4 linked regions of the Diceros bicornis minor genome follow. The protein of the gene in region 1 purifies or fractionates together with the protein of each later gene. This does not show direct contact. Links are inferred from orthologs where the notes say so. Each region holds a gene or a part of one and is shown in the gene's direction. Other genes may lie near its edges. The genes, in order: AP1S2, AP1M1, AP1B1 and AP1G2.

The links.
Region 2: the proteins of AP1S2 (region 1) and AP1M1 fractionate together in Homo sapiens (co-fractionation; 6 studies listed by BioGRID and IntAct, counting the BioPlex papers as one, with this or other methods). This does not show direct contact. The link is inferred for Diceros bicornis minor from reciprocal best matches to the Homo sapiens genes AP1S2 and AP1M1.
Region 3: the proteins of AP1S2 (region 1) and AP1B1 purify together in Homo sapiens (affinity purification with mass spectrometry; 5 studies listed by BioGRID and IntAct, counting the BioPlex papers as one, with this or other methods). This does not show direct contact. The link is inferred for Diceros bicornis minor from reciprocal best matches to the Homo sapiens genes AP1S2 and AP1B1.
Region 4: the proteins of AP1S2 (region 1) and AP1G2 purify together in Homo sapiens (affinity purification with mass spectrometry; 3 studies listed by BioGRID and IntAct, counting the BioPlex papers as one, with this or other methods). This does not show direct contact. The link is inferred for Diceros bicornis minor from reciprocal best matches to the Homo sapiens genes AP1S2 and AP1G2.

The regions. Positions count from the first base shown.
Region 1 is NC_080781.1:13,028,588-13,036,375, reverse strand, and holds the start of AP1S2 (AP-1 complex subunit sigma-2), read left to right. Parts: upstream 1-4,784; 5' UTR 4,785-4,867; intron 4,868-7,111; coding exon 7,112-7,290; intron 7,291-7,788. UniProt on the Homo sapiens protein: Subunit of clathrin-associated adaptor protein complex 1 that plays a role in protein sorting in the late-Golgi/trans-Golgi network (TGN) and/or endosomes.
Region 2 is NC_080759.1:4,410,515-4,417,803, forward strand, and holds the start of AP1M1 (AP-1 complex subunit mu-1), read left to right. Parts: upstream 1-4,282; 5' UTR 4,283-4,359; coding exon 4,360-4,401; intron 4,402-7,289. Other genes in the region: protein FAM32A, read left to right, coding at 556-609, 913-981. UniProt on the Homo sapiens protein: Subunit of clathrin-associated adaptor protein complex 1 that plays a role in protein sorting in the trans-Golgi network (TGN) and endosomes.
Region 3 is NC_080774.1:23,055,641-23,063,392, reverse strand, and holds the start of AP1B1 (AP-1 complex subunit beta-1), read left to right. Parts: upstream 1-4,749; 5' UTR 4,750-4,862; intron 4,863-7,752. UniProt on the Homo sapiens protein: Subunit of clathrin-associated adaptor protein complex 1 that plays a role in protein sorting in the late-Golgi/trans-Golgi network (TGN) and/or endosomes.
Region 4 is NC_080744.1:24,298,068-24,305,314, forward strand, and holds the start of AP1G2 (AP-1 complex subunit gamma-like 2), read left to right. Parts: upstream 1-4,242; 5' UTR 4,243-4,347; intron 4,348-4,606; exon of another isoform or gene 4,607-4,628; intron 4,629-4,768; 5' UTR 4,769-4,769; coding exon 4,770-4,973; intron 4,974-5,384; coding exon 5,385-5,509; intron 5,510-5,650; coding exon 5,651-5,792; intron 5,793-5,912; coding exon 5,913-6,009; intron 6,010-6,179; coding exon 6,180-6,256; intron 6,257-6,374; coding exon 6,375-6,470; intron 6,471-6,882; coding exon 6,883-6,963; intron 6,964-7,247. Other genes in the region: JPH4 (junctophilin-4), read left to right, coding at 427-545, 891-1,423, 2,335-2,418.

The DNA.
Region 1 (7,788 bases):
TTCTAAATAACTTCCACTAATATTCTGGGGTCACTCTGAAAAAAAAAATCCCATTTAGATAGTTTATTCTAGGTACTATTAAAGAATACTGACTACCTTATGTAGCGGTGAGTCTTTTCAGCAGTTAAGGATTTTATCTAATATTAAGAATGCCGGGCCGGCCCTGTGGCTTAGTGGTTAAGTGCGTCCGCTCCGCTACTGGCGGCCCAGGTTCGGATCCTGAGGGTGCACTGACGCACCGCTTCTCCGGCCATGCCGAGGCCGAGTCCCACATACAGCAACTAGAAGGATGTGCAACTATGACATACAACTATCTACTGGGGCTTTGGGAAAAAAAAAGGAGGAGGATTGGCAATAGATGTTAGCTCAGAGCCAGTCTTCCTCAGCAAAAGGAGGAGGATTAGCATGGATGTTAGCTCAGGGCTGATCTCCCTCACAAAAAAAAAAAAAAAAAAAAGAATGCCTCCACCTCCTTTAAGAGAGAGAGAAAAAAACTTATATGAAGATAGTACATATTCCATTTCTTGAAATGTCTATACAAGATCTCAGTTACTGCCTGTTAACCTTTCCAATGACTAACTCAGGGTTTCTCAACCTCGGTACTACTGACATTTTGGGCTGGATAATTCTTTGTGATGGGAGCTGTCCTATACATTGCAGTGGCATCACCACCCTCCCCCTACCCCCCCACCCCCCGCAAATGTCTCCAGACACTGCCAAGTGTCCCCTGGGGGAGGGATAAAAACGTTGAGAAACACTGCTCTAACCTAATATTAAAAGGAGAAGAGTCATTTTCCTGCATTTTATTCAAAGCTATGGAAATAGGCTTCAAGAAAGAGCATATGTTCCACATTTCTCTTTAGCTCATTGTTGAAGACTTTGGCAGTAACAGCTCTATCTATTTGAAATGATTTGGTTCACAAATCCTCATTATTTTAGGCCAGTTTTCTCCCTGGAACAACCTTATCTTTGGAGATGCAAACTCACAAACTCTAAGCATCTTTTTTTACACTAATTGTGATCTTCTATACTGATTCAGCACGGAATTCCATTACAAGGCATTTTCATTTAATAATTTCTAAATAATACATAGACTGGCTAAAGGAACACTGTGCAAGTCCATAATATAGTGTTAGCACTAACAGAAGAGTTTTTATCTACTTCATTACAATATTTTAAAAAATTATCTAAGTAAAACCTGCACTAAAATAAAATGTAATAATAACCTTTATCACATCTTACCTCAAGATTCTGTCCCTAGAAAGAAAGTCATCATTACTTCTGGAATTTACTTCCTGGTATCTAAAGAATATGCTAACAATTGTATTTCTTCATTTATGCTCAATGTTATCTATTTTTTTTACCGTTAGTGTGTGAGGATTTAGCATTATTTCAACATTCCCTCACTTCTGCTCCTCCATATTCTCAATGTAAACAGATTACAATTTTTACTTAACTCATCAGTGTTTACTGATGAGCCGGCAGTGTAGCCTGACATCCTTGTTGGCGTCCTCACACTAGTGTCCCCTCTCTTACTGCCCATGTGGATATATACTTTAAACATCCCTTTTTTTTTTCATTTAATGTCATTTTGAGAAGGAAAGGAGATAAAAGCATACAGCCATCACACATTTAACAGAAAACTAAAACTATTTTTGAAAACTTTTAAAAGATTACATAAAAAGTCTCAAAATTTTATTGTTAAAAGGCAGAATCCCTATTTCACCCTCACCTCTTGCATTTAGCATAAATGAAAGCTAGGCACTTTTTTTTTTTTAAACAAGTGATGTTAATTAGACTTATTGTGGTGATCACTTTGCAAAATATACAAATATCCGATCATTAAGAAGTACACCTAAAACTAATGTAATGTTATATGTCAATTATATCTCAATAAAATAAATAAATAAAAGGCAGATTACCAGAAATACTTCAGTTCTTCCCCTTCTGTACACTTGGGACACGGTTATCTTTCCTACTTAAGGATAAATCTGTTCTTCTCTCTTTTGACCTTGCCGAATTTTCCTTTATCTATCTGAGCCATTGAAACCTGGGAAACATCAGGCAGCCTTGCACCATGACACTACATGTTCTTGTTCCATGAGAAATGGTTTTGTATTAAATGTCTCCTGTACCAAAAAAAAAAAAAGGATAAAATCTGATTTTTAATTTTTCAGAAAAAATAATTTTTGTACCATCATTAATAACCAAGAAATCAGGACCGTCCAGATGACAAAAGCAGAGGATTAAAAAAGGTACCCTATTAACATTACAGATGAAGAAGATACTAGGTGAGAAGAAATATGTATATAACAAAGCCCACAATTTGGAAATTGTGGGAATCAAAGTCAAGCAGTTAATTACCAACAAAGACAGTAAAAGTGCCTCTTTTGTCTTTCATGGTGAATGCACAATTAGCAGTTACTACTAAGACTGGGGAATAAACCATCTATAATCTACTGAAAAAGACCATCTGCTACTATAAATTTTGTTCTTATACACTTGCCAAAAGAAGAGAGCATATTAACAAAATAATGGGCCCTGCACTGTTAATTGCTAGGTTGTTTGCAGTTGTGCTGTTGCTATTAGAATTTAATAAGCCATTCCTTCTGCTAAATTAATAAGCAGCCAAGATTATGTAATAGCTGCTTTCAGCTGCTAATTATTTCTCCCATAATTCCTTTCCCTCTCTACCCCCAACCCCCCCCCCCCACCTTTTCTTGGCTAAGAACACCAGAGACTGCCAATATGTCATCAGCAAGTCTCCCATCCTCATATTCAGAACCACAGACCAACATTAGGAGCGTAACCAATGAGTTGAAACTTGAAGGTAGTTATCTCAGGAAGCTTGAGGATATATGTGTTTTGTACAGAAAAAGAGAAAAGCAGCATATGGATTCAGAGGGCTAGTTTTCATTGCATAGTATTAGATCTTTCAACTGGCTAAAGGCATCTGTTTTGTGTACTAAAGGAGAAAAGGGACATTAACATGGGCCTTGGGGCATGATTGGTCAGGGAGCAGAGACATTTGAGCAGGGGACCCAAAGACCTACAGAAAGCCAGCTCTGTGCTTTGTGCCAACCACTTCTTTAATATTCCAGTATACATTAATCATACATGTTAGTAGGAAATTTTTCAAGCAGCATAGTAGTGCTTAAAAGAGAGGTATTATACAATTTTATTTTGCCAAATAAGGGCATTAAAAAATGCCCCCAAATCCTTATTATATACTATCTTAGTTTTATAGGTATTTTAACACAAAAAAAAGAACACAATTTCTAATAAAGAATTCCTTTAAAATGAATAAATTTAGCTTCATGAAAAATTTAGCATTTCTTTTTCATTTTGGGCCATTAAAAAATTCTGGCGACTATATTTGGGAACCTCTGCAAAAAGGGCATAGCTCCACAAGAACAATTTTCCAGCTTCCTTTGTAAGAACCTAGGCGACTGGGGTAATGAATAGCATTCGACACGAGAAACCCGTGGCTGTTCAAGCAAGGTCACTTAATCCCGTGGGGCTCCCCTTTCCTTATCTGTAAAAGATGAGTTGTACTAGATGATTCATCCATTCTTTCATTCAAAAAAATATGGGTATCCATTATGTATCAAGCACAATGCTCAGCACTATGGCTCTTAACAAATCTATCATTTTATAGTCCTTATCAGTCCACTCACATTTATTAGTTGTGTTATATACCAGGCAGTGAACTAGGATGGGATGCAAAAGGAATAAAATTCAAGATGTGCTAAATAGAGGCTAACGGGCAAGTGGGGATACAAAATGAAATAAAACTCAAGATGTGCTATAAACAGGCTAATGGGCATGTGGGTGAAAGGGATTCGTTTTTACAAGGTTTGAGGGTGAGGTTTCACAGGAGATGTGACATTTGAGAAGAAGCGCATGCCAGGCAAAGCAAGTCGTCGGCAAGGCTAAACTGGAACCCAGGCGGCTGGGGGGGGGGGGGGGCGGGGGGACGACTCGCCGTGAAGGGAGCGAGATAACGTGGACGAGGTGCTGTCTGGGCTTTTCAGCAGAGAACAGACACTAACTCATCAGGTCCGCAGCACTGAGGATGGGAGAGGCAAGCCCAAGGAAGAGACACCTGCACAGCCTGGGGTGAACGGTGTCCAGGGCTGTAGCAGTGCAATGCGAAGGAGGGGCCGGATTCCGAACAGTTTTGAAGTAGAATAATTGCAAACGGCTCGCTGAATGCGTGCACGAGCTCCACGAAAGAGCCGACTTGTTCTCCCCAGAGCGGCAGCACTCCCTCTCTACCCTCACCATCATCACCGGCTGTCACACCTCCCCGTCCCACCCTCTAAGGGCACGGAGAGTTAGCAGAGCTCCGACTTGGCTCTTTGTGGTCCAGACCTTCCCTGCCCTGCACAGCAGGGTCACCAGAGGCCACCGCGGAACCCTGTTCTTCCGCACTGAATAGCGGGGACAACCGCCCGTGCGAGTCTCGGGGGCACACCCAGGAATGCGCAGGCGGCCCCGGCCGAAGCCGCTTCCGGGTCACGTGGCCTGGCTTCCGGTTCGCACCACCCCCTCTGGCTAGAGAGGCGGCCAATCGGCTTCCTTGGACTGCGCGGTCACCTGCGCTGCCTCCGGTGCCGTTGGCGACGGCGCAGCTGCTTCCCGCCCAGCCCGCCCCTCCGCTCGCCGCAGCCCCGGCTCCTCCCTCGTCCGGCCCCCAGGGCGGGGTCTGTCGGCTCGCCCTCCCCTCGGCGCCTAAGCCTTCCCTCCGCCGACCGAGTCCCCTCCCCACAGCAACACGGCTTCCCTTCCTCAGCTCAGCGACAGGGGTTTCCCCTCAGCCGCCGCCGCCGGCCGAGCCCCGCCGCGCCCGCGGCCCGCGGCCGCCGTAAGTCCCGAGAGGGGCGAGCCGGGGCGCCGAGGACGGGGATGGGGGCGGGAGGGTGAGGCGCGCCCCCCGCCGCCCCGCGCGCCCCGACGACCCCACCCCGTGCCCGCCCCGCCGCTGGGCGCCGCGCCCCGCAACTCACTTCTCTCTGCGTCCGCTCCCCTCTTTCCACACCGCGCCGCGCCCTGGGATGCGGGGGCCAGTGCCGGCCGCCGCGGCGGCCCCGCGGCACCTGTGGTTCGGGAATCATCTCAAGTTTTGCGGGGCATTTTCGGGAGGGGCCCGCGGGCGGGGGCGGCGGCGGCCGAGGACCCTTGGCGCCCCCTGCGCGGCGGCGGATGCCATTGTCTGCCCCGCACCTTGCCTGTCACCTCGCCCGGGCTTGGTCAGTGATGGAGTGCGGCCCCGTGGGGCGGCGGGGAGGCGGCGGAGACGGCCGGACCGAGGAACGCTGGCCCCGAGCCCGCCCCGCGGCCGAGCCCATTGTTTTTAATAGCAATCTCGAGGAATTGAGGTGCCCTGCGATTTGCGGCACAATCGAAGCATTGGTTGTTAATAAGAGGGAATACTTGTGTCTTGCAACCGGGTATCGTCCCATGTTAGCGCATAATTTATTTTAAAGAGAGTAAATTATTTATTTGTCCTATAAAGTGGTAGAGGGGAAATACAGGACCCTGCTACCGACAGCGTTGAGCCTATACTCCTTTCGAAAGCAAACCCCCACCCCTCCTGGTCACCGAGATCCTGGAATACGGGTCTGTTATTTTCCAAGTTCTGGTAACGGGTTTGCATTAAACGTTGTCCGGTAGATGCTTTACTTGCGGTCCCCTTCGAATGCGGCTATCTTAACAGGACTCGTATGGGAGGGACTTTGATATCACGAATATTGTTCGTTTATTTTGTACCAGTGAAGCGTTTTAAGTGAGTTGTAATAAGCCAATTTTAACTTTAATAAAGTTAAATTGCCGCATCATAAATTTCTAAGTATTTTGTTGATGCCTGTCTGGACTAGTACAAAGAGCGACAATAATTTCTTACCGAAAGGCAGGGCCCGTTGTATTCTAAATGGGTTGTGTAAATTCCCCCACCCCATGTTTAAATTCAAGATGGTGTGGTGAATGTTAAGAATCAGGCTGGGATCTTCCTTGCAGTAACGCTGTTAAAGGAACTTAGGAGAGTTAAAAGAAAAAAATACTCGTCTGAATTCTACCTTTAAATTACCTTTGTAGAAACAGTGCTTATCTGTTTGCAGTTGAGAAGACCAGTTGAATTTACAAGAACTTGCCTTAAAAATTAAATGTGTAGACTAAATAACAGATTTGCAGATTCCAGATAAATATATACAAAATAGTTTGTGTAAAGTACACTAGAATTCAACATCCACTCCCATCTGTCAATGCTATTTTTTTGTTGTTTTAAGTGAAGTATGTCGTGTAATGTCTCTGAATATGTTTAACTCTTGTTTTGGCTTTTTAGAGGTTTATGTTCTCTTTCATAATATTACATTAACTCGTTTATTGTGTGCATATTTATGTTGGTATTTTTAAAAAGTGAGATGAGAAGAGATACTTAAAAGTCATGCTTTTATTAAGAAAAATGTGCTTTTATAGGATTTTTTTTTTGGGTAATCTCTTAGATCTTTTGTTTTGCTTAAAATATGTAAGCATAAACTGAAGAAAGCATTCTAAGTGATAGCAGTCTGTCTACAGTAATTCAGCCTGGAACTAGAACAGCCTCAGGGTGAAAAATAGTAGGTCTCCTGTTTCTTTTAAATGTACCTAAACCAGTTCTTGTCAACAATTCTCTTTTGATGCATATAGAGAGTGTGGAAAATAGTAGGTCTCCTGTTTCTTTTAAATGTACCTAAACCAGTTCTTGTCAACAATTCTCTTTTGATGCATATAGAGAGTGTGGAATGTATAGCACAGGCAGACAGTTTCTTAAATTGCAAGAGTTATCTTTCTTTTTCCTCAAAATTTCCATTCCAGCTTATTACCTGTTTTTCTTTCTTCCCCCCACACACTGCTTTCCAAACTTACGTGGAACAGGGTGGAATGGAGAGATTGCATCTGGTGGGAAGATGTTTCTACAAGAATTTCCTGCTATTTTAACTGGCATAGAAATATTGATGGCTACTAATCATTTGTCAGTTGACACCCTGTCCCCTGGAGCTATGTCATCTTAATCTTAACTTTTATTGAATCAAAGTACTGCATATGATCTTGGTTCTATTTATCTTAACAGATGCAGTTTATGTTGCTTTTTAGTCGTCAGGGAAAGCTTCGACTGCAGAAATGGTATGTCCCACTATCAGACAAAGAGAAGAAAAAGATCACAAGAGAACTTGTTCAAACCGTCTTAGCACGGAAACCTAAAATGTGCAGCTTTCTTGAGTGGCGAGATCTGAAGATTGTTTACAAAAGGTATAATTTTTATTTATCAGAAAGGTGAAATAGCAGAATGAAATGTTCAGTCATCTATAATGTGGAAATTGCAGACTTTCGAGAGATTACATTTATAAATAATGATTAATAAAGATTTAGATGAAAAAGATTTAAATTAAAGCTTTGTATTTTTAAAATAACTGCTGTTCTGATTGATTACCCAGGCTAAAATGATAATAGGGAAGTCGTTTTAAATCTAATTATATAATTGTAGGCGTAAATGATTATTCATGCTTAATCATCTTTTTAGAAAAATTCAATGAATTCATTTCTTTGCAGGGAAAAATAGGATCAGTATTTTAAATTGTGTGAGTAACTCGCTGAATTTAGACAAGCGTTTTCACCCCTTTCCATTCTCCCCGAAAATCTGTAATGACTGATAATTGACATGCCTTTTATCTGACTTAGAATCTTACTCACTTATAAACACCTTGGATACATAGACCGTTTCAGTCATATAGATGTTTAAAAACTTTG
Region 2 (7,289 bases), on another chromosome or scaffold:
CATCCTGCGCTCTTACCTCTTACCAGGGACCATCGGGTGTTGGGAATGAGGAGTGGAGCAGGTCCTGGTGCTGCAAGAGGCGTATTCCAGAATCACACTCATCAAGGACCTCGTAGCCCTCCTGGCACTGTGTCCTGTCACTTGAGCACCTACTCTGCAGCGGGCCCTTTACCTTCCTCCTTCCTCAGCCTTTCTTAAACCCCCCATGCCTTTCTTTTTCTGCAAACTGGGAATGCGTATAATTGCCCAAGGAAGCAGGAAGCACATGTAGAGCTCCCATCAGTCTGCTTGTGGGTATGTGCTCAGTTGGTGCTGGTTCATTTCCTGCCCCTCAGACCGGAGCGCAGCTGACCCGGGCTCCTGGTGGGATATGTTGCGGCCAGGCCTCCCTGTCAGAGCAGTCTGAGTGGAGCTGAGGCAAGGGCAAGGTGCACACCCTGAGACCTCTGGCCTTTCTAGGTGTGAGAGCCAGGCTGACTGGGGCTCCCATCTTCCATCCCGTGTTGGCCTGGGCTGCGTCAGGCATGTGAACTCACCTGTTTCTCTTCTCTCCAGCAAATGGAAAGGATCCTGAAGAAAGCATCCAAAACCCACAAGCAGAGAGTGGAGGTAAGTCATGTGCCCAGTGGGGAGATGGAGCCATCTAGGGCCCCAGAGGCTAGGAGCCTGGCAGAAGAGCCACTGGAGTGTTGGCGGGGAGGAGAGTGTACCCAACAGAAGTGACGGCTACCCGGGGGTCACTGAAGGGAGAGCCCAGGGTTCAGGAGTTTCTAAGGCCTGGCAGAGTGGCCTTGAGAGGAGGGGTGCTCTGAGGAGAGACAGGACGTGGAGAAGTGCGGTGGGCAGCACCACACATCCCTGATGCCCTGCGTGGGGCTGTGCTGACGTGGGCTTTCTCCTTTGCTTTCCCAGGACTTCAACAGACACCTGGATACGCTGACGGAGCACTATGACATTCCCAAAGTCAGCTGGACCAAGTAGCCTCCTGGCCCGGGAGGTGGAGTGGCATCAAGGGGAAGCAGAAGGCGAAGTTGGGGTTATGTTTGGTGCCTTTGGTATTTTTTAGAAACATTCTTTTACACACACTTTGCGTCCTCTGTTGAGACAGTGCTTTTCAAAGCAGTGTGCCCTCATTCTAGACCTCAATGAAAGTAAGATTGCCCTTTTACCCTATTTTGGTTTCTCAGTAGAAGATAAACGTTTTCAGTTTGGACTGGAAATTTTTAAGAGTTTACCCAGAGATAAAGGTTATTTCTATGTAAGTGCTGTGGAAAAGCGTTTTTGCCCCTGAGTTGCATGTCACTCTCTCTGACAGCTGGCCAGCTCTCTTTGCCTGGATGAAACTGACTCCATAGGATAAGGAGTTAATGCCAGCAGGCCTGCAATGCAGCCCCTTGTGGGGCCCTGCATTGCCTGCCCTTCCAAGCTCCCTCTAGCTTGGGGCTTATGCTGTTCCATCCAGGGCCTGGGGAAGCCACTGGCAGCTTCGTGGCCTGCAGACTGCCTCCTCAGCCACCTGGCCAGTGAGACAATGCAGCCTGGGAAGCAGAACAACTGTCTAAGGATAGAACACATGCCTCGTCCCTTTCTGAGCTGAGCTGGTGGCCAGCATTCCTCTTCCCCAGTAACCCTATTTCAGACATGTCTAGTGAGTGTTGCCATGGATATTACTAATCAAGCACAGCATTCTTTGTATTGGAACCCAGACACAGCCTGCCTCACTACCCTCAACCCTGGGCTCCAAGCTGACCCCCCGTATTTATTCAGAGTTGGCACATAACATGGAACCTATTGGGCATTCCTGGCCTAAGGACACCTCAGGGGTGACAGGAGCAGGGCAGAGCCCCGCACAGACAGACGGGTAGGGGTGCAGTCAAACGGGAGGACCCAGGTTCTGGTGCTGGAGAGCGAGGATCTTGGAGGGCCTGCGTGCACCCACCGGCTGAGGATGGAACTGCTTATGCTACTGTGAGAACTGACGCACACAGTGCAAGAGGACCAGTCAGAATAGAAACATCGGGTGTTGGGTCTGGGGCTGTCACAAGTGAACTGCAGAATAAAGCAAAAACCAGTTATGAAATGTAAGTCTGAGTGTCTTACTTATAGGCTGTTAGATTATCACTAGACACGCTGCCTTTTAAGGGTTTATCCCATATGAAGAATGTGCATACTGCGAAACGACTCTTCACCCTCAATTTGGAAAAATTTGGATGATGTGTTTCTACTTGTGGTTCGTGGCCCACTTGAGAGAGGTGACATCCTCTCATTAGCAGTGGCTCCTTTGGGCAGATTCCCCCAGCGTGCCCCAGCATTGGGGTCAGGGCTTTTCTATCCCTGAGCCAGCGGTGCAGGTCTGTGAGCGTGATGTGGTGCTGGAAAAGCCTGTGTCAGTACAGTGGAAGATAGACATCCTAATTCTGCCTAACACACCACTCCAGAACAGAGTGGCTTACAACAGGAGTTCTCTCTCCCGATTCTGGGGGTTGACAGTGCTCATCTGGGTGGGTCTGCTCCCTGAGGTGTAGCTTAGTACACATGTGTAGCTGCATTGGCTTCCTTGGGGCCAGAAAGTCCAAGATGGCATCTCATCCCCCAAGACTGCTCTCCACATAGCCTGTTCCATTGGCCAACACAAGTCACGTTGTCAAACCCAGAGTCTCGGAACTACACAAGGGCATGAAGACCAGGAGGTGTGGTTTATTGGGGGCCATCACTGTTACAATCTACCACAGTGGTTCTCAATTTATGCTGTATGTTAGACTCTCCTGAGAGCATTAGGAACCACTGATGCTGCCTGGGGTGGGGTTCGGTCATTGCGAGTTTTCAGAGCTCTCCAGGTGACCTTAATATGCAGCAAAGTTTGAGAAACCCTGGTCTACCACAACAGGTATGGTCTTTTCTGAGATGTTGCAGAGGTCAAATCTGGCTTATACATTACACATAAATGCCAAGGATGAAATTCAGATGTGACTCGAATTCCCCCACTTATGGAGAAAAGGAAGTTACAAGTAATTTAAGTGTGAAGAGTGTTTACCGTGGTGGTACTCTTGGCACTTGGGAATCTTTGTTTCCTCAAAAGACTTGTACAATGTCTTCCCCCCAGCCTCCTTGACAGAGGCACAGAGCAAGGCTGAAAGGAGATGCTCTGTAATGAGAAGAGTCACCTTTCCTGGGTGGCTTTTCTTTTTGCCTTATAATTTTTGGCATTTACTCACTTTTTCTTCAGTGAGATGTACAGTTTTGTAATTTAAAAAAGACATGTTTTTCTAAAACATTGCAACAAACTGGGCAAAGTATGAGGCTAGGTACAATAGGGTTTCTTACCCAATAATTGTCAAAAGGCCTCCATTGGCTGCTTTGTGCAAGAATGCTTCCAGCCCAGGATTTACTTGGTAGTCTTCAGATATTAGTTTTCTTCTCTGGATTTTCCTGCACTTACATTTATCCTAAGTGGAGGATCTATTGCAAATGCCATCTTTCAGAGCCCCCAAACAGAGATGAGTGAAAGGCAGGCAGCCTGAGTAAATGGTTCTGATACTGCACGGTTGGGATCCCCAAAGCAGTGTGATGGTTCATTGGGACAGAATGCAGACATTTCTCCACAGCCTGAGTGTTCATAAAACCAAATGAGATATTCAATTGATTAATGAGAGGTCACGATTTGCATTACCCACCGTGGGCACTAACTACAGAAATGAAACACGTGCTTTTCGCCTAGGTTCAGTGGGGGGAGGTTTTTAGGAGATCATTCCAAGCAATAAACAGGCACGCCTGTTCACTGACGAATGTTGACACTGACAGGTGACAGATAGTGACTGTTGATAAGCCTTGACTGCCATTCAGAGAGTCTGACCTCTTTCCAAGTAACTACCTCCTTACTTCTCCCCATACAGCATTTCGCAATGGCGACTGTATATGATTGTTTCCTAGACTCCCCCACCAGACTATGAGTACCATAGGGCTGGGCCCTAGGTGGGTTCCACCACCGGGATCTCTCACCTAATTTGGCCCACAGCGGGGTTTCCAGCTGCCATGGCTTCGGGGCCCAGGCGGGAAGCTGGAGGATGCCCTGCTTCACTCGGCCCCGCCCGACCTCGTCCCTCTGGACCTTACTTCCGGGATGCTTGAGGCGGAAGCGGGAAATAAGAGCACGTAGAGCGCACTGCGCCTGCGCATACTCCGCCCTGCGCCCGCGCACTCCTGGCCCCTCCTCCCCGACCGGACCTAACGGTCCGCGCGCGGCTCCCCGGACCGGAAGTGGAGGCGAACAGTGGCGGCTCGCGCCCGGCCTTGCTCAACGCCTGGCGGTTGCCGCCGTCGCCGCCGCCCTCGGCCGCTGCCGAGGCTTCCCGCACCGCCATGTCCGCCAGCGCCGTTTACGTGCTGGACCTGAAGGGCAAGGTACGGAGGGCTCCCCACCCTCCCCGTTGCCAGGCAACCGGCGGGGGCCGCGCCCCGTGGGGACCCACCCTGTTGCTTAGGGACGGCCAATGGGACCCAGCCTGGTCTTGGGCAAGGAAGCCAGTCGGCCTCGCCTGAGGGCCGCACCCTGTTGCTAGGTAACCAGGCAGGGTCGTCTGTCCGCACCCTGTTGCTGGGTAACGCGGTGGGCTGCCGCTGTTGCTAGGTAACCGGCTGCACGACACCCCTGACCCCCGTGGGCTGGGGGCTCCAGTCTCGGTGGGGGCCCCCGGAAGACCGAGGCCGCGGCGAGGGCGGGCTGCAGCCGGCGTCGAAGCTGCGCGACCCTTGGCCCGACGTCGCGAGGCGTGACGAGGACAGTGTGCCCTCGGGCCAGTCCCGCCCTCTCAGGGACGTAGCTTCTGCTTCTCTGGCGAGTTCTCTGTGCCGGTCCCTGTAGGTATGTCTTAGCGTTCCTTCGTTGTGACATTGAGTGACAAGGATTAGGTGCGGTAGGTGGTGGCAGCGACACTTTACAGAGGGAGAAAGTGAGGCACAGAGAGGTGACGCAGCGTGCCCAAGGTCACACCGGTCACAGAGAAGTGACAGGTCTAGGCGTCGAACCCAGAATCATTTGTTCATTCAGCTGGTGTCTGAGGAGGACCTACTAAATGCCAGGCAGGTCTCTAAGTCTGAGAGGAGGGATCTTGACGCCTCTCAGAAGTGGGCTGCCGCCCTTCCCCAAGTCCATCCTGGCTGGAAGCAAGTGAGGATCTGGCCTCTTGCACCTGGGAGCAACAAGTACAGGTTCAACAATGTTCAACGCGTCCCACATCAATCTGGGAGGAGACGTGGGTGTCAGGCCCAGGTGGGGCAGGGAGGAGTTAGCTCAGAAGCAGTGGGGTGTGAGGAGAAGTGGCTGCCCCTTCCTGCCCCACTCCCCACCCCCAGCACTTCCCTGGAGTCCCCTGAGTGGGTTGCCTGCCTTGGATGGCACCCAAAGTCAACATCCAGTGAGGCCCAGTGCTGGGCTTCCTTCCCCCCACCTTCTTAGAGGCAAGGAAAGACACAGGGCAGGCCAGGGGCGGGGTGGGTGCAGTGTTCCCTGAGTCCTTGTAGCACGTGTTCTTGCTTCCACCCCAGCCACCGTGTCCTTAGAGGTCCCAAAGGCTGCCTGTCTCCAATCACTCGTTCCTTCAGCAAAGATTTCACGAGCTCCTACGTGCACTGAGCCGCATGCTGACCATCTCGCGGTGACTGTGGAGTCAGGGCTGAGCTCAAAACCCAGCTTTGCTGCTCAGCTGTGTGACCTCAGGCAAGTGCCTGCTCCTCTCTGAGCCTCACTTTCCTCATTAGTCAGAGGAGGCTTCCGTGGCATTATTGTGTGAACTCGCTGAGCCGCGCATGAGAGAGGCTCAGCAGCACCCAGGGCCCACAGTCCGCGTTAGACCCTGTGGGCCTCACGTTCTGGCAGGGGAGACGTGTGGAAGCAGCCGCATGGATCCAGACGGTCAGATCCGGTTAGCCACAGGGCATGGACAAGGCCCCAGGGAATGCAGTTGCCTAACCTCAGTTTTGGCTGGCAGAAGGAGAAGTGGTTACGGAAGGCTTCCTGGAGGAGGGAGATGGGGGAGCTGGAAAGGTGACCAAGTGGCAGACAGGTGGACAAGGAAGCATCTCAGTGGGCCCGAGGGGTGAGGGGCAGCCCACTGGGGCTGGCAAGCAGGAAGTCCTACGTAAGGCTGGAGCCTGGTGGATGGCACCAGGAGGGCCATGGGTGTTAAAGGTGTCCGGACAGGAGAAAGGGCCAGAGGGGACCACTTTGATCCCAGGAAGGAGGAGCCACCGCAGGGGGATTGTAGCCCGGGAGAAGCAGGATCAACCTGCCTTTCGGGAGGCTCCCGAGGCAGCCGGGGGCTCCCTTCCCGGCCTCAGCAACCGTCATGCCATTTATTATTCCACTCCCCACGGACCTCATGTTTTGGAAGTTTGCCTCATGCGCAGACTGCGTTTAATCAGAAGTAAGGTAATGGCACATCAGGAAATTCACTACCACACAGCTCTCTGCCAGCCAGAGCCTCTGATTACCAAGGAAACCAGCGTGGCCACGTTCAGCTGACAGAAAGCCCTCCGTGGACACTCCTCCGCCCTGTCTTTCTTGTTTCTCTGCAGCTGCTGAGGCCACTAGCACACTTCTCAGCAGGCTTCCTTCGGCCCCCTGTTTCCCTCACTGTCTGCTGGCCCCTCCGCTGCTGCCCTCCCTTTGGATGCTGGCCCCTCAGGCATACTGTCCCTCTCCCGGGGCAGGCTTTGATTCACGTCAGTGTGCCGGTGACTCTCAAATTTATACCGCAGTCCAGGGGACTTATCTGGAGATCTGCTGGCCTCGGAGACACCTTGGAAGTCCCACAGCCACTGCAGACTCTCCCTCCATCTGCTCTCTCTCCATCTCGGCGAGTGACACTGCCATCCATGCAGCTGCCCACGTTGGAGCCCTGGGCGTTATTCCTGCCTCCTTTGTCTCCTCACCTGCATGCTCACTCCCCAGACGTTGACTGAGCACCTGCTGTGGGCTGGGCTCTGTTGTCAGTGCTGGCACACAGCTGCGAACCAGACGGAAGTGGTCACTGTTCTCTGGGAGTAGTAGACTCTGGTAGAAGTGACAGACAGTAAATGAGGACACAGATAAACATATGATGCAGTGGTGATGTGGGCAGTGAAGGTAAAGTGGAGTTGGGGGTCGAGAGGGATGGGATATGATCTCTCAGCCAGGGCAAGCAGGGAGGAGGTGCTGTCTGAGCTGAGGCTTGAGAAATGAGAAGAGCCAGCCCAGGGCATTCTGAGCAGAGGGAACTGCAAGTGCAAAGGCCCTGAGGCAGGAACAGGTG
Region 3 (7,752 bases), on another chromosome or scaffold:
TACATACACATGTTGAATTCACTCCCTTACCCAGAAGTTTCAGGAGTTAAATACCTAAAGTTAAACTGCTAACTAAATAGTTGAACTAAATATTTAGATAAACTAAAAAGGTAAACTAAATAACTAAAGTTAAACTATTTAACTAATAGTTAAATAACTAAAATAACTAAATTTAAAGAGTGTTTTATTTGCCAGGTGTAGGGTCCATTTTCTGATTTTATTATTGATTTCTAGCTTTTTAAGGTTTATTTATTTATTTTCCCCCCAAAGCCCCAGTAGATAGTTGTATGTCATAGTTGCACCGCCTTCTAGTTGCCGTATGTGGGACGCGGCCTCAGCGTGGCCAGAGAAGCGGTGTGTCGGTGTGCGCCCCGGATCCGAACCCGGGCCGCCAGCATCAGAGAGCACGCACTTAACCGCTAAGCCACAGGATCGGCCCCGATTTCTAGCTTTTTAGATTGTGATCAAAGACTGATGTATGAACTCCAATTCTACTCTATTGGAGTTTATTGACATTTTCTTTGTGCCTCAATTTATGCCTTTAAATAATTTTTAAAGCTCCCATTGAAGGAGGGTTTATAGGTTGCCAGGCACTGTACATAAATTCTACAATTTAATCTCTTTAGCAACTTTGCATGGAGGCCCAATCAGCTGGAAAGTGGGGTCCAGCTGAAGATTTGAACCCGGGTGTGGTTCAGAGCTTGGGCCTTTTTGATTGCACCAGTGGAGGGCGGTTCAGCCCTCTCAGGGGAACCTGAGAAGGGAGAGCAGAGCCCTTCAAGAGGCAGCCTATGGCAGCACTGGGGCCACAGGGGAGTGAGCAGAATTTTGCTCCTTGGAAGACCAGGGATGGTGTAATGAGAGCATTTGCAGCAGGAAAGAATGGAGGCAGAGGAGAGGTCCCTGGCAGCCTCTAGGCCCCTCTGCCCTGGAGTCTGTGCCAGGTTCCACCCGAACGGGAAGGATATGGAGCTGCCCACCCTCAGCAGGTGTGGGGCTGGTGGTGTCAGTGAGGCTACAGACAAAATCACTCCTGCCTCCTTCCGGAAAGGATCTGAGGCAACTTTTAGAAGTTTGTAAGGTAAAAACAACAAAAACAGCAAGCAAACATAAATTGAAGTAGAGTAATAGCGATAAGAAGAAGAATCTAGAAAGAAGGTTGGGACGGAGAAAGGCATGCTATCGGCTGCCTGTGCAACATTTACACCGAAAGGTCAGGGGCAGTTAATATCACCAGTGCGCCCTCTAGTGGGCATAGATGGAAAAAAAATACAATTTGTTCAACGTGTATTTATTAGGCACCCGTGTGGATGGAGGGTGGGAAAGACACGCTCTGAGATTCTGTGTGTCAGCAGGTCCCCGGTCATTTCTTGACACCACAAGAACTCCCAACCTCCCTCTGATTGTATTAAACGTCATGAGGCAGGTAAGGGTGGGATGAGGGGGAAAGCATGGGCCCTGCAGTCTTCAGCTCTGGCCTTGCCTCTCAGCTTGGTCCATTGTTGCCTCCTGAAGTTGGAAAAGTTCCTCAGCTTCTCAGGGCCTCAGTGTGCTCATCTGTAAAGTGGGAGTTCCATAGTGCCCACCTCTTGGGAATAGTGAGGGTTAAATGAAGTGATGGGTGTCAAGGGCATACAATGGTGCTTGGCACATGTTGGGTGCAGAGTTCTCAGGAAGGAGAAACTGAGGCCCAAAGAGGTGGACAGGCCTGTCCATCATCAGCCAGCTCAATAGGGCAGGGTAGAAAATGAATAGGACTTGGAGAAGAGTTTAAAAACTTCCTCCTCCAATCAGGAGGTGACGTTACTGTTAGTAATGGTATATCTGTTGGGACAAGTCTGTTCTCTCTCCAAGTGGGCTTGGCCATCACTGGCTCTGCTCCATCCTGGAGCAAAGAGCTCCTCCTGGGCCAGGGGCTCAGAGGTCTGAGGCAGGCCACACATGCCCCAGGTGGGACTTTTCTAGACAGTGTTGGACAGTGAGTGTGACTCAGGCAGTGTGGCCAGCTGGGTTGGAGATGGGGTTAGAGAGGGAAGCCCCCTGAAAGCCCCGCTTCCCTGCTTCCATCTCCCACCTCTGCAAGCTGTAATTATTCAGCCTTTGGCATTGAGTTGTGCCTCTTCTTATTAGTATTATATTTTTAGCTCTTCTGCCAGGCTGAGCTGTGAGAGAGGAGGCCAAGGCCTACAGGGAAGTGAGGAAAATCAGCTCTGCCCACTGGCCTAAGTTTTCTTATCTTTACTTGGGGACAGTCATGGAACCCCAAATTGTTGAGAGAGTTCAGTGAGTTAATATGGGGAAGAGCCTAGCACAGTGACTCTTCATGGTAACTATTAGTAGTAGTAATATCATCCTTCACAGTTCCTGCTGGATGTCACCTCCTCCAGGAAGCCATCCCTGACTTTCCCAGGATGAGTTTGGTGCCCAAGTCTCCTGCACACCCCTGGTCCTTCTGGGCTGTGTTATAATTGCCCCTTTAATTGTTCCTCTCCCAAGGAGAGGTTGTGCCACATCTTGTTCACTGTTGTATCTCCAATATGGCTGGCTCAGGTAAGAGGGACAGACATATTTTAGGTGAATGAGTGGGACTTATGAGAGCACGTATGCTGTGGCTCTGGGACCAGACCATCAGCTTTGCCACTCGGACATTGTTTGACTTCAGCTCTTGGAGTTGCAGCTCCCCTCCACTCCCCAAATAAAATGGGGCTGATGTGAGGAGCAAATGAGACCCCCTGTGCACCACCTAGCACACTACAGGTGCTCCATAAACATCCATTGCTGTTCTGCAATTTCATATTAAATGCCCCCTACTTGTCCACACCTCCCCTTCTCCCTCCAACCCCAGGGGGAGCTTCAGTGCCTCCTCTGGACTCCCATAGTCCCCAATACCTCCCCTATCACAGCACCAACCACATTTGTGCCTGCTGCTCTGTCACCCTCCCCGGACAAACTGATGGTTCAGCAAGGACAGGGCCTTTGCCTCACCTGTGTGACTATCCAACACCCAGCCCAGGGTCTGGTTCAGAGCAGGGGCTTGGGAAATGCTTTCTGAAGGACCCAGACGTCTGGCTCCCTTGCCTTCCTGTCTCTGCACTGATCTCTCTGGTTTGCCCTTTCTTTCCATCTCAGCCTCTGCAACTCTGTCCTCACTGGGCAAGGCCTAGCATAAATGCCACCTTCCCCAGAACATCCTTCTTGAGCAAATTGACGCTGTGACTTCTGTCTCCTTGGAACTCTTAAAGCTCTGACTGCTTTTACCACCAACTTGCCACTTTCACATAAGCTCTCCAGCTTGGTACCTTTAGGTTTGCTGGTTTGTTTTGTTAGATAATCCTTCTCTTTCCATGTTACATTCCTAGTGAAATCTTGTTTTTCACTGAGGCTGATGGCATTTGCCAACATTGATCATTAGGGAAAGGTGGTTTCTCCAGACAGCTGTGCATAGCATGTGGAACATGACACATGCATACAAAATCATTCTATTTGTTTCCTGCCTACTTCAGAAAAGGATTTAAAAATGGAATAAGGTCTGTAAATTTAGTTAATGGTATTATACCAATGCCGATTTCCTGGTTTTGATGTTATACTACTAATATATAAAATGTCACTACTGAAGGAAACTGGGTGAAGGCACCCTATGTACTATTTTTGCAATTTCCTGTAAGTCTATAATGATTTAAAAATAAAACCTTTTATAAAAAGGATTTGAGTCTGGTTAAACATATAAAAACTACATTGAATATTAAAACAATAATATCTAGATTAGACAGGACATACAGACTTGGCTTTGCAAGCTTATTTATTAATAAGTTTTATAATATTATAAGATTGGTAGCAACTTAAGTGTACAACTGTAGGGATTGTTTTTGAGAACAGTGATACCATCCATACAGTGGAATACCATGCAGGTATTGGAAAGCACCAAACAGAAATGTATTTATTGTTTTGGGAAAGTTTTACCAACATCTTGGTGAGTTAAAAATACTGAATGATATGTCAAGTCCTGAAGGATATTCACCAAAATATTAAAAATGATTGTCTCGGGGCGGTGGGATTGCAGATGATTTTTTATCTTCTTTTTGCTTGCTAGTATATTGCCATTCCTCTACAATGCAAATATTATTTTCCTAGTAAAACATTTTTAAAGAGTAGCAATGAAATAATGTTTTACAGGGGATGATCAAAAATTATCTAGAAGGAGAAGAAAGTTAATAGTACCAGAGCCGGGAGTGAGATGGCTATTGCACTTGAAGTCGTGGCAGACCCAGCAAAAGGAGAAATGGGATATTGTGAAGTTCTTGGAGAGTGCGATGTTTTCCCCTCTAACGTGGAATACCCAAAGGGCTGCACTGAAGGGCAGGGAGCGCTAGACTAGATTTACACCTCGAGTTTTGACTCTTCCATTCATACGGTAAGTGATCTTGAGCAAAATCCTGCCCCTCTCAGAGCCTCAGTTTTCCCGTCTATAACAGAAGGGAGATGGACCTCAGAGTCTCCACGACCTTTTCCATCTCCATCACGCGAAATTACTTAGCGGTGAGCAGGCTAATTTTCCTAACCACGCTGCGGGAGACAGCGGCGGAGCAGCGCCGCGGCCGGGGAGGGGTTAATCCGGTCGGCCCCGCCCCGCGGGCACCACCACCCCCGCCCGGGTCGCACCCTTGACCCCGCCCCCAGGCCGTGCGTCCACCGGAAGTGCCCGCGCGCGGGCAGCTCACTTCCGCCCGGCAGGTGACAGCCGCGGGGCTGGAGCGGCCGGCGGCACGGGCGCACCGGGAGAGCAGGGGGAGGAGGCCGCGGACATTTTCCTGCCGAGCCGCGCCGCGCCGCGCCGTGGCGCCGGGAGCCGTGCGGACCTGCGGGTGAGGAGGCGGGGAGTTCGACGAGGCTGGAGGAGAAGTGGGGCGGGGAGGCGGGGGTCTGAGGTGAGGGCGTTGCGGGGTCAGAGGTCACGGAGAGGACGTGGGGCTGGAGGGGCCAGAGAGGCTTCCCGGGCCCCGACGAAGCTGAAGGACTGCGGGTTCATTCATTCGCACCCGCTTGGCCGCTGCCCGCAGCCCAGCTGCCCCAGGTCCGCAGCCCCACCTGGGCGCCCTCCCGGAGAGACGGCTAGACTTAGGCCCCGCGGAGCCCGCCCCTGGCCGCAGGGGAAGCTCCTCTTCGGTCCCGGTTTTCCCCTTCACACTTATCCCCTGGGGCCTCTTCGTTCCGGCCTTATCTCTCTGCCACGGTTCGAAAAGGAAAAAAAACTGCAAGAAACAGCCCTGCGCCGCCTGCTCCGCGGCACGCTGGGGCTTGGTCTGTCCGTTGGCGCCCCACGGACGAGTTAGCTGGGGACACCTGTAATAATGCTAAAAACACCGACGAAAATGCCAGCTGCTGCGTGTTGAGCTCCTACTGTGTACCAGGCGCTGTGCTAAGCGCTTTAGTACAGTGCCACGTTTAAACTTCACAGCAGCCCTTGTGAGGTAGCTACGGTTGTTATCCCCATTTTATCCACGGGGAAACTGAGGCACAGGGAGGTTAAATCACACGTATAAGGTCAATCAGGTAGTATAGACAAGAACCAGGGTTTCTACCCTTGCTTGCAGAGACCAGCAAAGTGCAGAGACAGCAGAGAGGCTGGAGCAAGGTTGGGATGAAGGGGCTATTTAATATCTTTAGCCATTATGTGTATTTGCATCTGTGTAAAGATGTAGGCTTATTGCTTCTCGTCTAGTCTTCATAAGGGGCATTTGACTCACTTTCTTTAGGATGAAACAATCCTGCAGGCTGTTGGTGTAAGTGATTACATTTCAGGGCAAGCGTGGAAGTTTTTCCTGACTATTGGGAACTGTGAGACACAAAGCAGGCTATCCATGAAGCTAATTTGAGAGTATCTAGAACCTCTCTTGAGAGTAGTTGAGCTGCATTCCTTTTGGATTGAAGAGAAGAACCACATGACCTCTAGGGGCTCTTGTAGCCCTAGGTTCTTGAAGGACGTTCTCAAGGGAAGGGTCTGTGTCTCTCTGAGAAAAGTGCAGGCCCCATGGCTTCTTGGCTAGGGAAAGCACATCTTGCCTGGGAGGTGGTGAGGTGGTTTGATGGCCGGAGGGCTAGGTTCTGTGAGTCTGAGCCTTATTCCTTTGCAGACATTCACTAGCTCCAGTTCTGCCTCAGTTTCCCTGAGAGCAGCACAAGGGAGACCTGCTGCCTTCCTACCCACTCTTGGGTGTTGTAAGCCTTAATGAACTCGCGAAGGTTTCCACGTGCTTCTGAAGAAAGCTGTGATGTAAATATTACTGTAGTGCCTTTTTTTTTTTTAACTCTATGATCTGTTCTCCTAGTTCCATTGAATTCACAGAACCTTAATATTGTCACCTTATCCCCATCCTTCCAAGGGAGGATTTGAGATGAAGCGACTTGTCACAAATGGTAGGAACGTGAGCAGAGCTCAGAGCATCTGGCTCCCTGTCCTGAGTTGAGCCCACCAGGCTCCTCGACCTCTTAAAAACTGACGTGAAGAGCAGCTTCACTAGTTTCAAAGAATCAGATCCCTCAGAAGTTGTGTAGAGATTATCTGTTGAGTGTGGGTTGAGCAGAGGCTTCTCCCTGAGCAACCTGAAGAGCTCAGAGGTACACGGAAAAGATTCCCTTTCTCCCCCTCGCTCAGCCCTGGGTTCTGATCCCAGCTCAGCAGCTTCGTGATAGTGGGACCCGGACAACTTGCTTAGACTGGGCCTCTACTTCAGCTCTAAAATAATGATCACCACCTTCCCCCTCTCCTCCCAACACTGGTGCGTGTGGGGGTTAGATGAGGAAGTTTGTGCAGAGCCTGTTAATGTTGCGGTGGGAGCCTTGATCGTAGGCAGTTGATGCCTGCTGAGGGTCTATGTCTGAGGAAGGCTGTCTACCCTGGTTTGTGGGGTGTTACTTCCTTCCGCAGACAGAGACCTTTGTGTACACAGGACTTCTCCCACCCTTCTCGTTTCACTTCCTAAAAGTTTGTCAGAACAAGTTCAGTCCATTGGTCCTGCTGGCTTTCGGCTTGGACTTTCATCTTTTTCTAGTCGTCCTCTGAAACTGTTGCGTATCTTGACTGCTCACTTCCCAGAAAACCCGCATGCCTGGCACCAAAGCCTGATGTGCTGACACTGAGCAAACATGGCTTGGGTATGGGTTTTGCACTTTGGTGTATTCCTGAAAGCTGAGGGAACATCTATAACTTGAAGATGTTTCTTTTTCTGCACAAGTCTTTTTGTCTAAGATAGGTTACTTATAAATTATTACAGCCCAGAAATGGTTTTTGTGTTCTTTTTCTCTTCACACGGAGAGAAACAGATAACTCCAGAGAGAAAATACCACTTGAGCAGTTGGAGAATCCTTAAAAAAAAACTTCTGCTTGAATATCCATCAGTGGCTCCTCGTTGCCCTCAAGCTAAAACTCACATTCCTTAGCATGGCATTCAAGGCCTTTTGGGCTCTGACCCCTGCCTGGCTCTTCTGCCTTATCTCTCCTGCTCCACACTTCTACCTCCTCCCAAGCTCCAAGCAAACTCAGCTGCTTTTCTACAAAGTGCTAACTCGTTATGCCTCTGTGTCTTTGCTTTGTGCTGTTCTCACTGCCTGAACACCATTTCATGTCACATACACACCCCACCCCACACTTCTTTGCTGGACCACTACTTGGTGCCTCCCATCCGATCATCCCCTCCACCTTGCAGGCCTGAGCTAGATGCCCCTCCTTGATGTCCTGTGGCACTGATCATAATG
Region 4 (7,247 bases), on another chromosome or scaffold:
AGGCATAGCTTGTAAGCACCAAGCAGGTGTGACTGCAGAGGGATGTGCTAAGAGAGTGAGGTCTCATTTGTCACCAGGAAAGGAACAGGACAGTGGCGGGCAGCTGGGGAGGGCCTGGCCCCTGCAGCTGGAAGAAGGGAAGTGTTACTACAGGATGCAGTGGTGGAAGGGTGTGAGAGGAGCAGGGAGGTGTAATGACAGTAGGCCCAGCCCAGCTCTAGGAGAAGAAACCAAAGGCCAGCTGCCCTGGCGGCCGGGAAGGAGAGCAGCTGGCAGAGTGTGAGCAAGGGTGAGGACTCCAGAGGTGAGCTCAGATCCAGAGGATGTGATGTGGTGGGGACCTGGGCCAGGGGGCTGGAGCATCTGAGCAGGGCTAATCTGAAGGGGGTGCTGGTCTGCTAAGTCCCTGTCCCTGGAACCCAACAGGGCAGCAGACGCCCTTCTAAAGGCAGTGGCAGCCAGCAGTGTCGCCGAGAAGGCTGTGGAGGCAGCTCGAATGGCCAAACTGATAGCCCAGGACCTGCAACCCATGTTAGAGGCCCCAGGTGAGGCGTGGGCAGCCTGGGGCGGGGGATGGGCCCCCTGGGGAGCTGGAGAGGCTCTGGCATGGAAAGGGGAAGGGAATCCCTGCAGGGCACTTGGGATGGAAAAGCCAAGGATTGAGGGTCCAAGGGGACGGAGGGTGGGGGCCAGGCCCGGTTGTTTGGAGAGTGGACCTGGGAATTTATGAAATAGGGCCAGAACGACTATGGGGTTGCGGTCTTGCAATGAGAGGCGGTAACCCTGGGGACACTGAAGTCCTGGGAGGCGCCCAGACAGGGGATAAAGCTGTAGCTTTGGCAGCCCAAGGCCAGTTAGGCCCCTCTGATTCTTAGCTATCCCTGCCCCAGGCCACAGACCCAGGCAGGACTCAGAAGGTTCCGACACAGAGCCCTTGGATGAGGACAGCCCTGGGGTGTACGAGAATGGACTGACCCCCTCAGAGGGCTCCCCTGAACTGCCTAGCAGTCCTGCCTCCTCCCGCCAACCCTGGCGACACCCTGCCTGCCGGAGCCCACTGCCTCCTGGGGGGGACCAGGGTCCCTTCTCCAGCCCCAAAGCTTGGCCTGAGGAGTGGGGGGGCCCAGGTGAGCAGGCAGAGGAACTAGCTGGCTATGAGGCTGAGGATGAGGCTGGGATGCAGGGGCCAGGGCCCAGAGACGGTTCCCCACTGCTCGGAGGCTGCAGCGACAGTTCTGGAAGTCTTCGAGAGGAGGAGGGGGAAGATGAAGAGCCCTTGCCCCAGCTGAGGACCCCAGGGGGCTTGGAGCCTGAGCCCGGGACCACACCAGTCCCGAGGGGCCCGTCCTCAAGGGGTCCTGAAGCCAGGTGCCTGATGGAAGAGCTTGAGGAGCATGCCGCAACCGAGAGGCCTGCCCAGCCGGTGAGACACTCTCCATCCCCATTTTGTGCCCTCAGAGTCTCAGCTCCTTTCTGGCCCCTCTTCCCAAAGCCTTGCCTCTCCTTCCATCCAGGCCTCTGTCTGATCCCCTGGGGCTTTGATCTGGGCTCAGCTTCCTCTCTGCCTGCCCAGTCCTGGCCCATATCCCACCTCAAAAGAGACCTTCATGTCCAACGCCCTCATTTGACAGATGGGGGAACTGAGGCCCAGAGCATTTGAAGTAACTTGCCCAAAGCTACAAACTAATAATTAACGGTGGAGCCAGAACATCTTTCCCTGTTCTCCTTCCATATCATTTCCAACTCCCAGTTTCCTACTCCACCCCCACCCCCACCTCCACCTCCACACTTTCTCTCTTTGGTGCCCAGAAATAAAAAAGGAAAAGCTTGTTCCCTCCCTACCCTGACTCTCCCTCCCTCTCCTGGGAAGAAGGGAAATAGGAAAGGCAGCAGAAACCCAGGAGGGGTGGAGATTCTCCAGAATCCTCTACTCTGATTGGACTTCAGGTCTTCTCCTGTTTCCTAGCAACCACATCCTCATCCCTCATCCCCCTCTGCTTTACTGCAGTACCGGCTGCTGCTGCCAACAACGTCTGCTACTAAGGCCAGGCACCTTCTGCCTGGGCCACGTGACATGCTGGTGGGAGAGGAGTGGAGAGTGGAGGGAGGAAGGGCTGTTCCTGACTTGAGGGAGCCAGAGGGAAGGTGGGGCCCTGCCTGGGAGAAGAGGGGTGTTTTGCAATCCAAAACAAAGGTTGGAGATCCCCCCACGCCTGGCACTGAGGAGAGGGGCTGTGACCATTCAGCTTTGCCACTTCAGCCAGGGCAGGAAGGTGGGACCTGTCGTTGGACCTGGTCCTCGGGGACTGAGGCTGCATTTCCCCCTCTCTCTAGGGAGCTGCCAACCCCCTGGTGGTGGGAGCCGTGGCCCTCCTGGACCTCAGCCTGGCGTTCCTGTTCTCCCAGCTCCTCACCTGAGGCTCCTGCCCAGCCTAGCCTGGCTTTGGTTGCTGCCTCTTCACTCCTTGGACCTGCCTTTTTCTCTCTTCCTCCTCCTGGTTGTTTCTTCTCCTATCTTTCTTTCTCTTCTCCCTTTCCTTCCTTTCTTTTCTGTCCCCCTTTGTTTTCATCTCTTGCTTTTTCTTCCCCTCTCTCCTTTCAGATTCTCTCATTTCCTGTGGATCTGTCTGTCGTCCTCACTCCCTTCCCCACCCCACCCCTTCTCCCTCTCTAGATTGTTTACATATGAAGGGCTTTTCTCCTCAGAGTTGCTCTCTTCTCTGAGACACACAAATCTAAGTCAGACCATTGCCCCACAACCTCCCCGCCTTTTCTTTAGACCTGAACTTCGATGAGGGTAGGGGTTTGGTGTCCTGAGGAGTCTCCTGGAAGCCAAGTGGAAAGGAGGAAGAAAATGGAGAAGGGGGTACTGTATACTGGGCAAGGCACTGGCCGAGCTGTGGTGGGAGCTGGACCCAAGGGGCCTGAGGTCCCTCTGAGGCCTAGTGAAAAGGCCAGAGGAGGTGCAGCCCCCATCTCTGACCTGGGAGGATCCTGTCTCACCTCCAAGGGTTGAGCTAGGTTCTTGCCTAACTTCATCCTTCCTTGAAGGAGATAAGGGAAATGAAAAGTAGGAGGACTCTCTAGCATCTCCCTCTTTCTCTCCTCAACAGCCAGCCCCTCCCTCGTCCAACCGGTTTGGGTGGCATGCCATGTCCAGAGCAATGTGTAAAGCAAAGCAAATGTCCAGTGCAGCCAAGTCCACCCATTGACCTCTCGCACCCTCCTCTCTCCCCCTAAACGTTTATTTGCTTGGTCTGGACTCACTTGTGGCCTTTGATTAAATTTCTAAGGGGCCTGAAGAAGACATTTCTACTGCAGAGGGTTTGAGGCACCTGAGCAAGGACCCCACTCCCCAACTCTGGCAGTCGTGGCGGTGGTGGAGGGGGCGGCAGTTCTGGGGAACGGAACCAGACTAGATAACAGGAACTCACAGGGCAGCAGAAGCTGTGACAAGTTTAGTAGTCTCTAAGTGGGTTATGTCCCTTCCCCCATCCCCATCAGAATCTTGTGAAATGGGAAAACAACAGGAGGAGGGGATCAAGGAAACCAATCTCACACACTTTCTAGGCAGGGAAGAGGTGGGCCTCAAAGCCGTTGAGAGGTGGGTGGAGAGCCCTGTTTGAGATTGTGGCTGATCCCTGGTACTAGCTTTTCCCCTGGGGGCAGGAAGCCCAAGGAAGAGGGACTGTAGGGTACCCAGGGGATCTTTCCTCCCTCCCCTGCATGAGGCAGAGGCAAGCTGCCTGCCAACCCCCTCCCTCAAGGAATGGCCTTGCCTGGGAATGCCCACCACACACATCCTCCTCTTTTTTTCTAGTCAAACTCTGTTCACTCCTTGGCCTGCATCTCTCCTTTCTCCCCTCTCAACCTTTACTTCTGATTTCTATTTCATGGAATTTGGGATTGAAGTTAAACTACAACAGTGCCGCCAACACTAAGTCTTGCAGGAAAAAAAAATACAAAGAAATTTAACAAAAAAAATATATTAATAAAAAACTTCAAAAAAGGGGGGGATTGTCATCTCCTTTGGGGTGCGATGGCTTCAAACCCAAGCTCTCTGAGGCTCTCCGGGTGCTGAGAATGTTCGAGGAGCCCTCTTGGGGAAACCCCAGGCCTGATAGACAGTCTCGCCGCCCCTATGCGGATCAGAGCTGCTTCCCCTAAACTCCAAAGCCAGAGGCCTGAGGTCAGAGGATTCAAGACGTCTCAGCAGGGAGGCCCAGGAAGGGCGGGGTCCCGTGGTGGGGGCGGGGAGAGGGAAGGACCAGACGAAGCACCAACCCCCGCCCGGCCCCGTACCAGGAAGTGCTGGGGGCAGAGGAGCAGAGTTGAGCCAGAAGCCAGGTGAGGCTGGCGTTAGGGATGGCATCCTGGTGTGGGGAAGCTGGGGCCGCCTGCGATGTGAACGGCGGAGGAGTCCCGCAAGAGAAATCGCGCAGGGCCGTGGAAGGAAAGAAATGGCTGAGCTAGGGATGGGAAACCAGGTGGAGGACGGAAGGGGGGTGGGAAATAGGCGGGGCTCCTGCGCGTGCTCAGTAGGGACGGGCTGGTTGGGGGGGGGCACGCATGCGTAATGGGGATCTCCTCGGGATGGGGGTGGAGTTCGGACACCCACGTGGAGAAAGGTAAATGTGGGCTCAGTTTTAGGGTAGCTGTGGGACCCGGGCCCTCAGGATCTTGGCCCAGGGGACCCTGGGCAGAAAGGCCATGCAGCCCTAGCAAGAGAAGGTTAAAGCCCTTTCCATTCCCGGGCTTTGACCCCCAGGATGTTGGTGCCTTCGCTGAAGCTTCAAGACCTAATCGAGGAGATTCGTGGGGCCAAGACCCAGGCCCAGGAGCGGGAGGTGATCCAAAAGGAGTGCGCCCACATCCGGGCCTCCTTCCGCGATGGGGACCCTCTGCACAGGCACCGCCAGCTGGCCAAACTGCTCTACGTCCACATGTTGGGCTACCCCGCCCACTTTGGACAGGTACTGGGCAGAGTTTGATGAGGGAGGCTAGTGGAGCAGTGTCTCAGACCCCCTCACGTATCTGTGCCCTGATTTTTTTATTTTACAAAGTTGCTGAACCCTCACAGTATACACTGCAGACCTCCTTCCCCATTACAGTCCCTGTGGGTCATCAGCTGGACTGAACCCTTCATTCTCTGGCCAGCCTCATTCAGGGTACCTCCTCCTCTCCTCTCCCATCATCCTCGACTCCTATTGCCTGGAAACTACCCACTGACTCTCGATCTCCTAAGCCCCTCCTCCTGTTGAAGGGAGGTTGATGGGATATTGTGCCCCCACAAGTTAATCTGGCATTAAGGAGGAGGATAGAAAGGGATGTTAGTGCCTCTGGTTTCAGTCCTGCCCCTTCCTGGTCTGCCCCCTTCCCTATAGATGGAGTGCCTGAAACTGATCGCCTCTCCCAGATTCACAGACAAGAGGGTGGGCTACCTGGGGGCCATGCTTCTACTGGATGAGAGGCAGGATGCCCACCTGCTCATTACCAACAGCATCAAGAAGTGAGAGGGTTCTGGGAAGCACTTGGAATCAGGGAGATGGGAGATGGGGGAACTGGGAAATCCCAAGGGGCTGCCTGCTGTAGGTACTGGGAAGGCCTGGATTTCCCAGAGCCTTGACTGACTGCCCTCCCAACTCTGCAGTGACCTGAGCCAGGGGACTCAGGCAGTACAAGGCCTGGCCCTGTGCACTCTGAGCACCATGGGCTCTGCTGAGATGTGCCGGGATCTGGCCACTGAGGTGGAGAAACTGCTCCTGCAGCCCAGCCCCTATGTGCGCAAGAAGGTGAGCTGGCAGGACTCTAGGCACCTGCCCCTCCAGAAACTGTCCCGTTTGCCATGTGATAGAGGTAGGGGGTCCATCTTGGCAGACCTCCACCCTCTCTGAGCCCCCTGACCTCTGCAGGCTGTTCTGACTGCAGTGCACATGATCCGGAAGGTCCCTGAGCTCTCCACCATCTTCCTCCCACCCTGTGCCCAACTGCTTCGCGAACGCCACCACGGTAAGGCCACCGGGCTCCCCATCCCCTGCCTCAGCTCTGGCTACCGACAGAAGTGAAAAATGGGATGGGAACACCAGCTCCTAGGAGAAGGCTAGGACGTGCACACACACGCACACAGTAGACGCTCCTGTTCCCCTGGCCCACCATTCGCTTCCCCCACCCTCACCCAGGCATCCTAATGGGCACCATCACACTGATCATGGAGCTCAGCGAACGAAGCCCTGCAGCCCTCAAGCACTTTCGAAAGGTGGGCTGGAGAAGGGGCAGGCCCTGGGCCAGGAAGAGAGGAGCAGTGGGGTTGGAGTGGGGCTGAAGGGTGAGAGGACTTGGAAGAATGCCCAGATGAGGCTGTGCCCTCCCCCCAGGTGGTGCCCCAGCTGGTGCAGATCCTCCGGACTCTGCTGACAACGGGATACTCCACAGAACACAGCATATCTGGAGTCAGCGACCCCTTCCTGCAGGTGGGCTGGCCCTTCCCTGCTGTATCCCTGGAACAGAGAGCTGAGCTGGAAACCCATGGCCGGTGGTCACCTCCCGGAGAACACTTTGGCTCAGTCAGTGCCTTAGGCAGAAGGGTGGCAGGCACAGGTCTGCCCAGGTCATCCCAGGACCATTGCGGGGAGGGGGACACCTGAAAGTTAGAAAATCCAGTTTGGTAACAATAAAAAAAAGCTTGTCCGCAAATCCCCTGGCCTCACACACCTCTGATCCCCTCCCAGGGCCCAAGGGACCTGGGGGGGAGGGAGGGGCAGGGAGCCTCTAGGGAACCAGCCAGGTCTCTCACAATGCTCTCCTTAATGGATTTTTCTCCTCAGCCCCATGACTCCTTACCCTATGAACCCCTCCACTTTTCAACCTTTAACCCAACTTTAGGTCCGGATACTTCGTCTGCTTCGGATTCTGGGCCGGAACCACGAGGAGAGCAGTGAGACCATGAATGACTTGCTAGCCCAGGTTGGGGGCTGGGGAGCGGGCACTGGTTAGGTGTGTTGCTCTATGATCCCACCAGCCCTGGGCATCCCTCACATGACCACCGACCACAGAGTGGCAGTACAGTCACGTCTCCATTTCCCTCTAGACTGTGACCTCAGTGAGGACAGGGACACAGTCTCTCTCAGTGCAATAGCCCCTGCACATAGTGGGGCTCAGGAACTTTGTTAGATGGTTGAGGGATGACATGGTGGAGACCTTCCAAAGACCTGAGGAGAGGACAGAGCCCCCTGTAGATGCATCTTCTC